4 linked regions of the Oryzias latipes genome follow. The protein of the gene in region 4 purifies or fractionates together with the protein of the main gene of each other region. This does not show direct contact. Links are inferred from orthologs where the notes say so. Each region holds a gene or a part of one and is shown on either strand. Other genes may lie near its edges.

Region 1 (3,500 bases), on a different chromosome or scaffold from region 4:
ACGGAGTGAAAGAGAACCGTAATAAACCGTAAAAAACTTTAAACAAAAAAAAAGTGCGGTGATGCGGTTATCGTCACTCCCCTAATTTAAATTCTATAAACATTTTCATTTACAAGCAAACAGAGGAAAGTAGGTTTGGTTGAGGGACAGTAGAGCAGCATGCAGATATGGAGACAGAGAAAGCCAAACAGGGCGCCGGCTCACCTGCCCTGCGTGGCCTGAAGCTGCTGTGTGAGCTTAGCCAGGCTAGAGCTGGAAAAGGGACAAGAAGATGAGAAAGGAGACGAGCACATCTCAAGTGGATCCAAAGAAGCATGTGAGTGTGTGTCAGAGCAGAAACAGAATCAGGTTTGTTGGCAGCAGAAAATCAGTTTAGTGCTGTTAGTGATCAAACGGGAAGAGACCAGATCCAGCAGCTCTTACCAGTCAGACGAGTGCTGAGCCTCCGAGCGGAGCTGAACCACCTCCTCGGTGCCAGAAGTGGCCTGAAAAACATTCACATGACTCTGTCAGGTAAATGCTGCAGATTTCTGCGGGCGACGTGTTGGAAAGTCTCTGTTTTCTTCTTGTCACTCTTGTTTTGTCGTCAGTAACCTTCTAGGCAGGTGAAACATCTGCCTGCCTCAGCACCACTGACAACATCCCACAACAACCAGATACCTGCTAGGAGTGATCAATAACTGCAAATATTGGAAATGGGATCATCAGAAAATCTGCGTTTGCAATGACCAAACTTCTTGTAATTTTTAAAATCTCTATTCATGAGTATTCTGTAAATATAGCGACGCTGACGATCGTAGCGTTAGCTTTGTGGACACGGAAAGTAGCATGTCAGAAAGGTCACGTGTTGATGCTGTTCTCTGTGCTCTGCCAGGAGGAGACGGTGCTTATGCAACGCTAATCTGGATCCTGCATTAGGTTTACAAACCTGCAAAAGGTTTACGCAGATGTAAAACTATGAAATACACTATTTCCAATTATAAAAATGGGGCTGCAGGGTGGAGCAGTGGTTGGCGCTCTTGCCTCACAACAAGAAGGCCCCAGGTTCAAGTCCCGGCTGGGGAAACTGAAACAGAACATCAATGGGGGACCTTTCTGTGTTTGCATGTTCTCCCCGTGCATGCGTGCGTTTTCTCCAGGAACTTCCTCCTAACGTCCAAAAAACATGCTTCATAGGTTTTTTGGTTACTCTAAATTGTCCAAAGGTGTGAATGTGAGTCTGCACGGGTGTGTGATTGTTGACCTGCGACAGAATGGAGACCTGTCCAGGGCAGGGTGTCCCCTGCCTTCGCCCACACGTGGCCGGGATAGAATCCGGCAGCCCCGTGACCCCGAAAGGGACAAAACGGGTTTAGAAGATGAATGAATGAATAAATAAATTTTACAAATATATCTGTAAAATCTGTAAAGTAAGCATATTTTGTACAATTATTGGAGATGTTTTAAGGCTGTAAAGCTCCTCACTAAACACTTTATACACTTTTCTCAGACAGACATGAACATTTTCACACTTCTCTCTCTTGTTTAAACTCCTTCAAACCTTGAGTCCAATTTTTTAGGATGAAAACAAAGATCTGAAAAGCTAAATGCATTCTGTACAAGATACATAGCACAAAGGAGATCAATTCACAAAAGGTCTACAGCCAATCAGGACGCAGAAAACAATGTGCTGTAAAAAATCATTTTAAAAAAGCATGCAAAAATTGCACTGAAATAAAATCTGCAAACAGTGAACCTCGTTATAGCGAGGAAACACTATTGCATGATGGGACTTTCCCGTCTACATGACCCTGGAAAAAGGCCATCGTGATTGGATGTCTGGCGTTCGTGGACATGAGCTCCTCCTCAAACATGGGTCAGATATTCTGCTTCACTTAACAAGAGGCTCCGTTTTATTTGTGTTTTCAAAATTTTCCACAATCAGAAACGTATTTTTTTGTAGCCAAGTGACCAACTGATCACAACAGATTTAACAGCATCTGTGAATGTTGGATCATTCATAGCAGCCATGATGCAAATTAAGACCAAAACTGGCCGTTTTTTAACCACAATGTGCAAAAAGGAGAGAAAGATCTGGATTTTTTCTGGACTCTGCATCACCTGCGTGTGCAGCAGTTTGGATCTCAGCTGGTCGATGCAGCGCCGCATCCGATCCCTCTCCTTCTCTCCCTCCTCCTTCTCCCTCTCCAGATTTTCGTTCTTCTTCATCAGGTCTCTCATCGTTTCCTCCAATTGCTCCTTGTGGCTCTTCAGCAGCTTCAGGAAGTCGTTTGTTCCCTCTAACGGCTACAGACAAACAGACAGCTGCATTAAGCTAAGACACAGATAGACTATCAATGAGCCACAAAACTGTCGAACAGGGAGGCAAGTGTCTATGCAGTGACAGGAGTGTGCAGAGAAGCAGGAAGCTGGCGCGCAGACCGTCTCACCAGGCTGCGAGGGGGCGTGGTTTGTGTTCGCTGTTCGGTCTCGTCAGCTCTTTTCCTCTCCCACTGATCAAGAGTCTGAGAGGAAAGAAATCAACAAAAAAACTGAATTTATTTTGAAATAAACTATTTTGGTTAAAGATTATAATCTGTAAGATGTTACAAAATAAAAGCTTCTGCATTTAATAGTTAAGGTTGAAGCTTCAGTATAAAATTTTAATTGAAAGAAAAACATGGATGCAGAGACGACATAAAAAATTCAAAAAGAGCTGAGACAAGTGAACGGTCGACTGTCATCTTTGTGGCTTAATCCTGAAGAGACTTCTGTCAGTAAAGCTACTTCCTAAACCAGACGAGCGCCTCCATTCCTGAGACAAAAACCAAACGGTGTCTGCAGACGTATCTGGACATGTTTTAGTCATCCAGCTAAGGTCACTCCAGGAGAAATCCTGGACTAGGATGATCAAGATAGCTTTCTGCAATCCATTCAGATTCACTGACAATATGGGGAACTCCTGCAAACATTTTGCACCAAACTGTAGCTCTGACCACGCTGCCTGCTGGTGGTAATGGAGGTCACACCAGCAGACTTTCATCTGAATGAATTGCTTCGACTCCAAGCGGAGAGATGCTGCACTACAGGGCTTTTGGAAGCATTTAGAGAAAAGGTGGAAATTTGGGGTTAAGGAGGAGTCAGTCCGGACCCCAAATTGATTCATAAATGGATTTGTCCTAAGAGACTCGGGATCCCAACATCCCAACTTTCCATGACTTGACAAAGCAAGACCATTCGTGGTTTTTTTATTGCTGCGGATCTGTGGTCCCTAAGTTTTGGCAGATGCTCCAAACGAGAACACGGATCTTTGAGGGAACAAACCCGAATTAGCAAAACTGACTGTCAACACACAAAGTTCACTATGCAGCAAAAACCTGAATTTTTGGCAAGTGAAGCAATAATATTTATGTTTATGATGTTATCGTCAATTTGCAGGACACTACTCAGCTCAAACATATTTATTCAAACAGTTTTATCCTTTTTTTTCTTTTAAAGAAAGTTGTTTTTGTCCTTCAACT
Region 2 (2,322 bases), on a different chromosome or scaffold from region 4:
ATAACCACAGATTTGTGATTTTATTGCAAACTGCACCAATTGGATCTCTCCAAAGAAGTTTTCCAGCCATTTAAATACCTAAAAAAATATATATAAAACTTTATCAATTTATTCATTTTGGATTTTAATTGAATTATCTTTGGATATTTTTTGGCCATAAAATTACTTTTTTTTTAATTCAAAGATAACTTCATTTCTTGAAACAAAGGCAAGTAAAAAAACTAGCTAGGCTGCCAGATTCTAAAAAATCTTCTTTGTTTTCATTCTACATTACTGGACCTATTTGTCTATTAGGTTTCAAACGTTGAGAGTAGAAACAAAAACAGAGAAAAGTGATCAAATGTTCATGTCTATCTGAGAGAAGTGAACAAAGAGTGCGGCGCAGAGTTTACAGCTTTAATGGAACATAACTTCCACGATAAACGAAGGACCCCTGTAGTTTTAGAAGCAGTTCCAATAATTTTGTAACAGCTAGACAAAATCATTCCCGTTAGAAAATGAACTGCTTACATCATCGTTGCCGTCAGCCAGATCCAGCGCCGTCTCGTCCTCCATGTTCCGCAGCATCGTGTCGGCGCCGGCCTGGAACAGGAGGTTGGCGATGGCGATGTCTTGCCTCCCCACTGCCAGATGCAGGGGCGTGCAGCCGTTAAACATGGCAGCATCCACATTGGCCCCCCTGTTGAGCAGAAGTCTCACTGATGCGATGTCGTGCATCTCCACCGCCAGGTGAAGGGCCGTTTTGCCACTCGTTCCTTCCTGCAAGAAAACGGACGTTCATGTCATAATTATGCCAGATCACTGAGCTGCACTGACAGGCATCAAAATAGCAGGGTGATAATTACAAAAATGATTCATGGCTGCAGACGCAGACTGATATGTTGGGACGGTGATTCAAACAGAGAGGAATGTCTGGGGTAGTTAGGGGAATGACCGCAGCGTTCCCTTCCATCTATAGAAAGTTAAGACAGACCGGCTGACCGGCCTAATCATATCTCATATCTAATTATGTCTCCATGAATTCTGCGGGAAATCCAAAGCTCAGCCTGTGTCAATATCAGCGTCGCGCAGGTGCAGGACGCTTTAAACGGGAACCAAAGATGCTGCAAACGGCACTTGAAGGGAACAAAAGTGGTAAATATATACTCAGATTATTTGTTTTTTGAGAAAATACATCATTATTTTTGTACGTTTATGCAGGAATTGGTTTCATGGAGCTCCAGACTAAAAATAGTGTCCGGTTTTGGAGGGGGTAAATTTCATTTGGTTTTATCAGCTGTGTTATAAAAATGAACCGTAGAGGAGGCGTTGGACTAACCTGAATGTTCAGATCTGCTCCTTTTTTCACCAGGAGGTTCATAATTTGGTGTTTCCTGTTAAGTGCAGCCAGGTGAAGACAAGCGAGACCTGCAAGCACAATCATCTTTATTTAAAGGTTTGGAAAAATAAATATATATATATATATATATATCTAGATCTATATAGATATATATCACATATGTATCACATTTTACCCTAAAGTGTTAACACAACAGAAAATGTTGCATTTCAGACAAAAAAAAAAAAACTTCTTTTAGATACAGAAACTGAGATAGAACGAAGGCTATTTTTTTGACGGGCATTCTTCTGACCTCTCCAGTTTTGAATCTTGAGGACCGGCTCTAGCGTGCTGGGACAAAAGTCCTGGGTCATCTCCGAGGCGCACTCCTTCTGCCCGTGCTGGCAGGCCACGTGGAGCGCCGTGTTCCCGTCCTGGTCCTGCAGCTCCAGGCTGGCCCCTTTCCTTGTCAGGTCCCTCACCACGTCTGTCAGGTTTAGGTAGGTGGCAAGGTGGAGAGGACTCTGCAGAACACCAGCAGGGTTCAAACAAAGCAGCGAAAACATACGTGTAATCAGACACAAGCAAGAAGAGAGAGTGAAAAGGAAAAAAACAGATCGGAGAAACTGAAAGTTGAACTATCGAAGCAAACGGCTGCTCTGACCGGGCTGCAGATGCAGAGCGTGACGCCTCTGCTACTTTCCTTTCGTAATTACTTTTTTTATTTTTTTTTAAATATCAGTTTTGCGTAAGACACATGATGAGAAGCATTGAGTCTTTACAAGATTCTTAAGCAATAAAAGAAAAATTCTTAGTAAGGAGAGATCTAAGAATGACTGAAAGGAAATGTGAGGCAACCGAGAGCTGAGTCAGTGCACAAAGTGCTGACTCCACACTTCAGATGTTTCCAAATGACAGCTCCGTCCGTCACTTCAACTGAAGCCTTCGTCGAGCTTCTTGAAGGACTGGAACGACTCCTGTGCCCGCATCCCCACCATGTCGCA
Region 3 (3,500 bases), on a different chromosome or scaffold from region 4:
GTCTTTTGTGGTTTGTTTATCCCTTTGACTTTTTAGTTAAGTTTAACCCTCAGAACAAAACAGCTTTGCACCGATATGCAAAACTTTACAGTTGTAAAGTTTAGTGTTACTTACTGCTGAATGAATGTTACACAATCAGCTTAAATGTGCTCATTCTGACATTAGAAAGAGCGGCTTTGTGCTGTTATGCAACACTTTACGTTCAATAAGTGTTGCATTTTGGTGCAAAGGTGAAGAGAAAACCTGCTTTTCTCTGCGTCCAATCGGCTGATTCATGCTGATCGTTGAATGGTCACAAAGTTAGGATAGGTCAAGGAGGTGTCGCCACGACAACTCTAGTGTTAAAAGGTTAATGATTCTGGTTTTAACTAAATGCTAAAATCACAATAGAATTAAAAAACTTCTACTGCAAACCTTTGAGAGTCTTCTTCAGGTGGGACAGAAGTCCTCCAAGTCTCTGGAGGTCAAAGTAGTCCACCTTTCCATTGTAGAAGAGCTGAGGAGGGACGTAAGCATCTGCAGAGGAAGAGAAGAAAAAAGATTATCAGAAACATCACAAAGTTCATTCATTCAGACGGCTGTGTCACAAGCTCTTAGTAATAAATATGGAATGTTGTTTTGAGAATGCCTCAGGAGTCATACACTTACCGAATGATCAGACTTCAAATTTAATTACAGCAGTTCCCTTCTGTATTAAGAAAAACCACTAGCCAGGAATAATTAAAAACTGCGTGTCTAACTCAACAAAGGGAATAGTCTGCAGTGTCTTTGAAATCCAACAGAGAAGTGAGGCAGAGAAACACTTCAGATCAACAATTTGAGTCTTGTGTGGGTCATTCTGAATCGCAATAACCTAATCGTGCATCGTGAGCGGCGACAGCAGCAGAACCAAGCAGAGATGCTCTGACTCAGCAGTCTCTTTCTTCTCCAGCTCCCCAGGAAGATGCTGCATTTTTTCTTTCATTTCCTCGGTTGTGCCTCAAGATCTTTCTGTTTGTTTCTCGATGATACTGGAGCAGCAGAAAGTAGCAGCGACGGAGAAAAACCCCAACAGCAGAAGCTTACCTTCACTGCTCAGGCTGCTCGGAGACTTCCTGCAGGCTTCGTTCCAGCAGGATCTCACCGCCGTGATGAGGCGATGCAGGAAACACACCATGTACTCGGGGGGACACAGCGCAGTGGGGTGCTGCTCACACACAAACGCACAAGCTCAGGATTGCGCTCTAAGGTTGTCTGAGCCACAAACTGCAGCTCGTCCTTACCCCTCTGTTGCTGGCGTTCTCCTGGAGAAACTTCCTGAACTTGTTGAGGAAAATGTACCGGGAAGCCTCCCCCTGCAGAATGAAGTAAAGTAAAGGATTGTGGGTATGTAAAGGATTTTAAAAGGTTCAGGAAGATGCCAACTGTGCAGCTGAAGCAGGACTGAACCTGCATGAATGAACATTTGCCCCTAAAGAATATGCAGACACAAATAGTGTTTGTACCGTGGTTTTGTCCTTGTTGTTGAGCAGCAGCCTCAAAATCTGAATCTGCAGCTCCTCCACCACTGACAGAGAACAGAGGAGGGATGAGACCAGCAGCAGAAGAAGAAGCTTCAGAGTAAAGAGCTGAGCCTGCAGTCTGACAGTGTGAAGCAAAAGATTGAGATCGCACCTTCGATCCTCTTCTTCAGCCTCTGGCAGCCTCTCTCATAAGCTCGCCGCCTCAGCCGCTCGTCTGCGCTCTCATCTTTGGGTTCGCGCTCGTCTTTACCCTGAAAAGCAGAACACATCACGCTATAAGAAATACATATTTTATAATCCAACCAAGCAGCATATTGAGGACTGAAAAGCAGAGAAAAGTCATTTTAGTTGTGAAAACCCTCTTCTGATCCTTTTGAACAGTTTTATCACAATAAAATGTTTATTTTCAAATTTTCAACCTTCTAGAAAACAGCACCTTTAGAGGGGTTCTGCTTGTACTTGTGACTTTTCCTCCTTTGATGTTTTCTTTAAATAAAGCTTTTTTTATGACAAGTGTTTCAGAGGCTTCAGTAAAGAGCTTCAGCCTTGACTGTATAAGAGAACTGGACTGTATGACTCCTCCCCCTCCTGTTCCAAACAGGAAGTACCTGCTGGCTCCAAGCCAAAATCCCATAAGGTTCTATTGAGAAATAAACCATTTTTCTTCTTGATCTGCTATATTTTTTAACATGTTCATACTAATCCTTATTTTTGTCATGAAATTGTTCTTTCTTGCAAGTTATTGAAGTTATGAACTGACCAATCAGATGCATCAATTAAAGTATATGGTCTCACGTTGAATGTTCGAAACACAGAAACACAGATTCACACACTTTTAAATAGTAGGGGAATAGACTTTCAACAGGCTCACTCCTGATTGGCTAGAGTGGTTGTGAAGCATTGACTAAGATCGACTCGAACCAATCACTGCTTACTGACATCGTCTGGCTCCAACATTGGTGGCGACCTTATTGCGAAAAGATGGCGATTTCATTGACTTCATTTGGTTGGAGCAGGAAGTGAGCCATTTTCTATGGGTGACATCACACTCACTCGGTCCAGTTCTCATATAGTCAATGGTTTCAGCCCTCTGCCTGTGAATGAAGGTAACCTCGAGGCAGCAGCTTCAGTCTGCTGATAAGTAGTCTTTTATCTGACAACAGGAGAGGTGGCTTCACTAATGTCTGCTGTCAGGGTTGTTTCTCTGCCTCACCTCTTTGTCAAAATGCGTGGGCCACCAGGTGGTGGGGATGAGCTCCTCGAGCCCCGCCTCCTTCACTCTGAGAGGGGTCTTGATATAGAAGAAGACGACGGACCGCAGCACGTCAAACGTAGCAGTAGGTTAAGGGGACAACAGTGAGTTTTACAGGCTCAGGCTGAGTGTCAGTTGAGGCAGAGCAGCAGCTAAAGGATATAAGACATTGTTGAGCAGATACTTCCTAGACTTCTCGTGCCGAAGGATGGCCGTGGTCAAACGCAGGTAGTGGATCTGAAACAGATGAGTCGTTATCAGCCTGTGAGTGCCAAATTATGAGCGGGACAGATGGTGAGTCTCACCTGGAAACCCAGGTCCGGGATGATCGGGGAGAAGCGGTACGCGCGCAGCAGAGACATCATCAGCTGCTTCAGACATTCGTTCACCTCGTGGTCCTACAGAGAAGAAATGACACACGATGAGCTTCAACCTGAGGAAGAAGCATCAACAGAGCCTGCTTTGTGTAGACCTACAGTTGTGAGAAAATGCTTTTTGCACTTTTATCTCTTGTAAACTACAAGTGCCATCTATTGTCCAATTTTTATATAACAGCGCGACCTTGCTTGAAACTAAATGGTGAAACCCATTGGGTTAGAGGGGCTCCAAATAAGGTAAAAACTTACTCCAGTAAAGTTGCTTATTTGAGTTTGAATAGGGAGCAAAAAAGGGTTTTTAAAGAAAATCTAAGATGGCATCATTCTGAAGTGCAACAAATGTTTCAGGGGCTTCAAATGCCAGGTAAA
Region 4 (3,500 bases):
ATTGAGGACCAGCTGAACTTTACAGAAAGCTGCTTCTTCCCTTCCCAGCATGCAGTTCTGTCTCCTCCAAAATCAGAAGATTAAACCTTCGGTTATCCTGGTTCACACTCTGGTAGCTGTCACTCCAGGAAACGCTTTGATTTGGGCAGAAATGCTGAAAACGTATGTTCATGTGGGGGCGCCATCCATACCCAGGACTAACCAGGTCTAACCAGGACTAACCAGGTCTAACCAGGACTAACCAGGTCAAACCAGGACAAACCAGGACTAACCAGGTCTAACCAGGTCTAACCAGGACTAACCAGGTCTAACCAGGACTAACCAGGTCTAACCAGGTCTAACCAGGACTAACCAGGTCTAACCAGGACTAATCAGGACTAACCAGGTCTAACCAGGACTAACCAGGTCTAACCAGGACTAACCAGGACTAACCAGGTCTAACCAGGACTAACCAGGTCTAACCAGGACTAACCAGGACTAACCAGGTCTAACCAGGACTAACCAGGTCTAACCAGGACTAACCAGGTCTAACCAGGACAAACCAGGACAAACCAGGACTAACCAAACCAAGACTAACCAGGACTAACCAGGACTAACCAGGTATAACCAGGTCTAACCAGGTCTAACCAGGACTAACCAGGACTAACCAGGTCTAACCAGGTCTAACCAGGACTAACCAGGTCTAACCAGGACTAACCAGGTCTAACCAGGACTAACCAGGTCTAACCAGGACTAACCAGGTTTAACCAGGTCTAACCAGGACTAACCAGGTCTAACCAGGACTAACCAGGTCTAACCAGGACTAATCAGGACTAACCAGGTCTAACCAGGACTAACCAGGACTAACCAGGAATAACCAGGTCTAACCAGGACTAACCAGGAATAACCAGGTCTAACCAGGTCTAACCAGCACTAACCAGGACTAGCCAGGTCTAACCAGGACTAACCAGGTCTAACCAGGACTAACCAGGACTAACCAGGAATAACCAGGTCTAACCAGGACTAACCAGGAATAACCAGGTCTAACCAGGACTAACCAGGTCTAACCAGGTCTAACCTGGACTAAACAGGACTAACCAGGTCTAACCAGGACTAACCAGGTCTAACCAAGACTAACCAGGTCTAACCAGGACTAACCAGGTCTAACCAGGACTAACCAGGAATAACCAGGTCTAACCAGGTCTAAACAGCACTAACCAGGACTAACCAGGTCTAACCAAGACTAACCAGGTCTAACCAGGACTAACCAGGTCTAACCAGGACTAATCAGGACTAACCAGGACTAGGACTAATCAGGTCTAACCAGGACTAACCAGGTCTAACCAGGACTAGGACTAATCAGGTCTAACCAGGACTAACCAGGACTAAACAGGTCTAACCAGGACTAACCAGGACTAACCAGGACTAATCAGGACTAACCAGGACTAAACCGGTCTAACCAGGACTAACCAGGTCTAACCAGGACTAACCAGGTCTAACCAGGACTAGCCAGGTCTAACCAGGACTAACCAGGTCTAACCAGGACTAACCAGGTCTAACCAGGACTAACCAGGTCTAACCAGGACTAACCAGGTCTAACCAGGACTAGGACTAATCAGGTCTAACCAGGACTAACCAGGTCTAACCAGGACTAACCAGGACTAACCAGGTCTAACCAGGACTAATCAGGTCTAACCAGGACTAATCAGGTCTAACCAGGACTAACCAGGACTAACCAGGACTAACCAGGTCTAACCAGGTCTATCCTGGACTAAACAGGACTAACCAGGTCTAACCAGGACTAACCAGGTCTAACCAAGACTAACCAGGTCTAACCAGGACTAACCAGGTCTAACCAGGTCTAACCAGCACTAACCAGGACTAACCAAGACTAACCAGGTCTAACCAGGACTAACCAGGTCTAACCAGGACTAACCAGGTCTAACCAGGACTAGGACTAATCAGGTCTAACCAGGACTAACCAGGTCTAACCAGGACTAGGACTAATCAGGTCTAACCAGGACTAACCAGGACTAAACAGGTCTAACCAGGACTAACCAGGACTAACCAGGACTAATCAGGACTAACCAGGACTAAACAGGTCTAACCAGGACTAACCAGGACTAACCAGGACTAACCAGGTCTAACCAAGACTAACCAGGTCTAACCAGGACTAACCAGGTCTAACCAGGACTAGGACTAATCAGGTCTAACCAGGACTAACCAGGTCTAACCAGGACTAGGACTAATCAGGTCTAACCAGGACTAACCAGGACTAAACAGGTCTAACCAGGACTAACCAGGTCTAACCAGGTCTAACCAGGACTAACCAGGACTAACCAGGACTAACCAGGTCTAACCAAGACTAACCAGGTCTAACCAGGACTAACCAGGTCTAACCAGGACTAGGACTAATCAGGTCTAACCAGGACTAACCAGGACTCTAACTTGTCCTCAGATTCTGACATGTGAAGGAGCTCCTGCTGCTCCTCCCTGCCCCCCCCCCTACCCAGCAGACCCTAAACATCGTTAGATTCCCGCTCTCTCCCTTCGCTCCGGATGAGTGGATTGAAACTCACTGCTGTCAAAGATCGGCTCGGACACCACAGGTTCCAGTCGTCGGGTAAAGCCCCCGTCGCTGTCGGGGAGGAACGCCGTAAACATGAGGCGAACCACACTGAGGTCCATCTCCTTGGCCTGGCTGGCCGCTGCACTGCTGATCACACAGCGCTGATGGTCTGAGGACACACAGATGGGAACCATGAAAATGCAATATCACAGGAGTAGTTTTACCTTACTGCCGTACTGCAACAAAGATTTCAGGAGAAAATCCTTTTTTTTTTTAGAATTTTTCATGTAAGCAAGGATCATAATTACAAAAACTTCTAGCTCAAAATGAACTTATGCTGCAGTATCTAAGCTTTCCCACAGGACTAATTGTCACCTACTTTTACTAATTAACAGTTTTATCTAGTTCATCGTTGCACCATTTGTACTAAATGTTCAGCTACTTCACAGAAGAGCTCTGTTTAGGGGTTACGAGAATCAAAGGTGGGACCTGTAGACCCGAAACCTTCACTGACCGCTGAGCTCTCGCGGGACGCGGACCTCCCCCTGCACGGCGTCGATCTCTGGATGGATGGAGATGCTGCAGTTGTAGCCCATCCTGAACGCTTCAATCATTCTCTCCTCAAGAGTCTTGGCCACGTTCTTCTTGGTCACATGGAGGATCCCCAGGTTAGGAAAACTAACAGGAAACATACGTGAGCGTCATTGGTTTAACACGTTCAGGCCGACGGCATAAGGCGCACACCTGATGGTGGCTTCTTTGGACTGCAGGTCGGCGATGCAAATTCCTTTATCGCACTGTTTCCCCACCAGACTGTGAGCGTGAAGCTGTGGGCTGGAGGTCAGCGCCGTCACCAACTGGACCACCACCCGAGCCTGGCCCTGATAGTTGAAGATCTGAAACACAGAACACTAAAAGTGTCATGTCTGACAAAAATAGAGCTGAGGAAAAG

What was found. Proteins that work in one complex are often made in the same cells at the same time.
Region 1: the proteins of nfkb1 (region 4) and ikbkg purify together in Homo sapiens (affinity purification with mass spectrometry; 4 studies listed by BioGRID and IntAct, with this or other methods). This does not show direct contact. The link is inferred for Oryzias latipes from reciprocal best matches to the Homo sapiens genes NFKB1 and IKBKG.
Region 2: the proteins of nfkb1 (region 4) and nfkbie purify together in Homo sapiens (affinity purification with mass spectrometry; 4 studies listed by BioGRID and IntAct, with this or other methods). This does not show direct contact. The link is inferred for Oryzias latipes from reciprocal best matches to the Homo sapiens genes NFKB1 and NFKBIE.
Region 3: the proteins of nfkb1 (region 4) and rnf123 purify together in Homo sapiens (affinity purification with western blotting; 4 studies listed by BioGRID). This does not show direct contact. The link is inferred for Oryzias latipes from reciprocal best matches to the Homo sapiens genes NFKB1 and RNF123.

The regions. Positions count from the first base shown.
Region 1 is NC_019865.2:4,847,836-4,851,335, forward strand, and holds part of ikbkg (NF-kappa-B essential modulator), read right to left. Parts: intron 2,505-3,500; coding exon 2,430-2,504; intron 2,287-2,429; coding exon 2,101-2,286; intron 486-2,100; coding exon 424-485; intron 253-423; coding exon 205-252; intron 1-204. UniProt on the Homo sapiens protein: Regulatory subunit of the IKK core complex which phosphorylates inhibitors of NF-kappa-B thus leading to the dissociation of the inhibitor/NF-kappa-B complex and ultimately the degradation of the inhibitor.
Region 2 is NC_019882.2:5,904,989-5,907,310, forward strand, and holds part of nfkbie (NF-kappa-B inhibitor epsilon), read right to left. Parts: intron 1,843-2,322; coding exon 1,632-1,842; intron 1,408-1,631; coding exon 1,319-1,407; intron 760-1,318; coding exon 511-759; intron 1-510. UniProt on the Homo sapiens protein: Sequesters NF-kappa-B transcription factor complexes in the cytoplasm, thereby inhibiting their activity. Sequestered complexes include NFKB1-RELA (p50-p65) and NFKB1-REL (p50-c-Rel) complexes.
Region 3 is NC_019863.2:20,439,249-20,442,748, reverse strand, and holds part of rnf123 (E3 ubiquitin-protein ligase RNF123), read right to left. Parts: intron 3,153-3,500; coding exon 3,060-3,152; intron 2,992-3,059; coding exon 2,918-2,991; intron 2,834-2,917; coding exon 2,716-2,833; intron 1,754-2,715; coding exon 1,654-1,753; intron 1,547-1,653; coding exon 1,485-1,546; intron 1,335-1,484; coding exon 1,263-1,334; intron 1,187-1,262; coding exon 1,066-1,186; intron 517-1,065; coding exon 415-516; intron 1-414. UniProt on the Homo sapiens protein: Catalytic subunit of the KPC complex that acts as E3 ubiquitin-protein ligase. Promotes the ubiquitination and proteasome-mediated degradation of CDKN1B which is the cyclin-dependent kinase inhibitor at the G0-G1 transition of the cell cycle.
Region 4 is NC_019868.2:30,854,154-30,857,653, reverse strand, and holds part of nfkb1 (nuclear factor NF-kappa-B p105 subunit), read right to left. Parts: intron 3,445-3,500; coding exon 3,293-3,444; intron 3,227-3,292; coding exon 3,063-3,226; intron 2,718-3,062; coding exon 2,559-2,717; intron 1-2,558.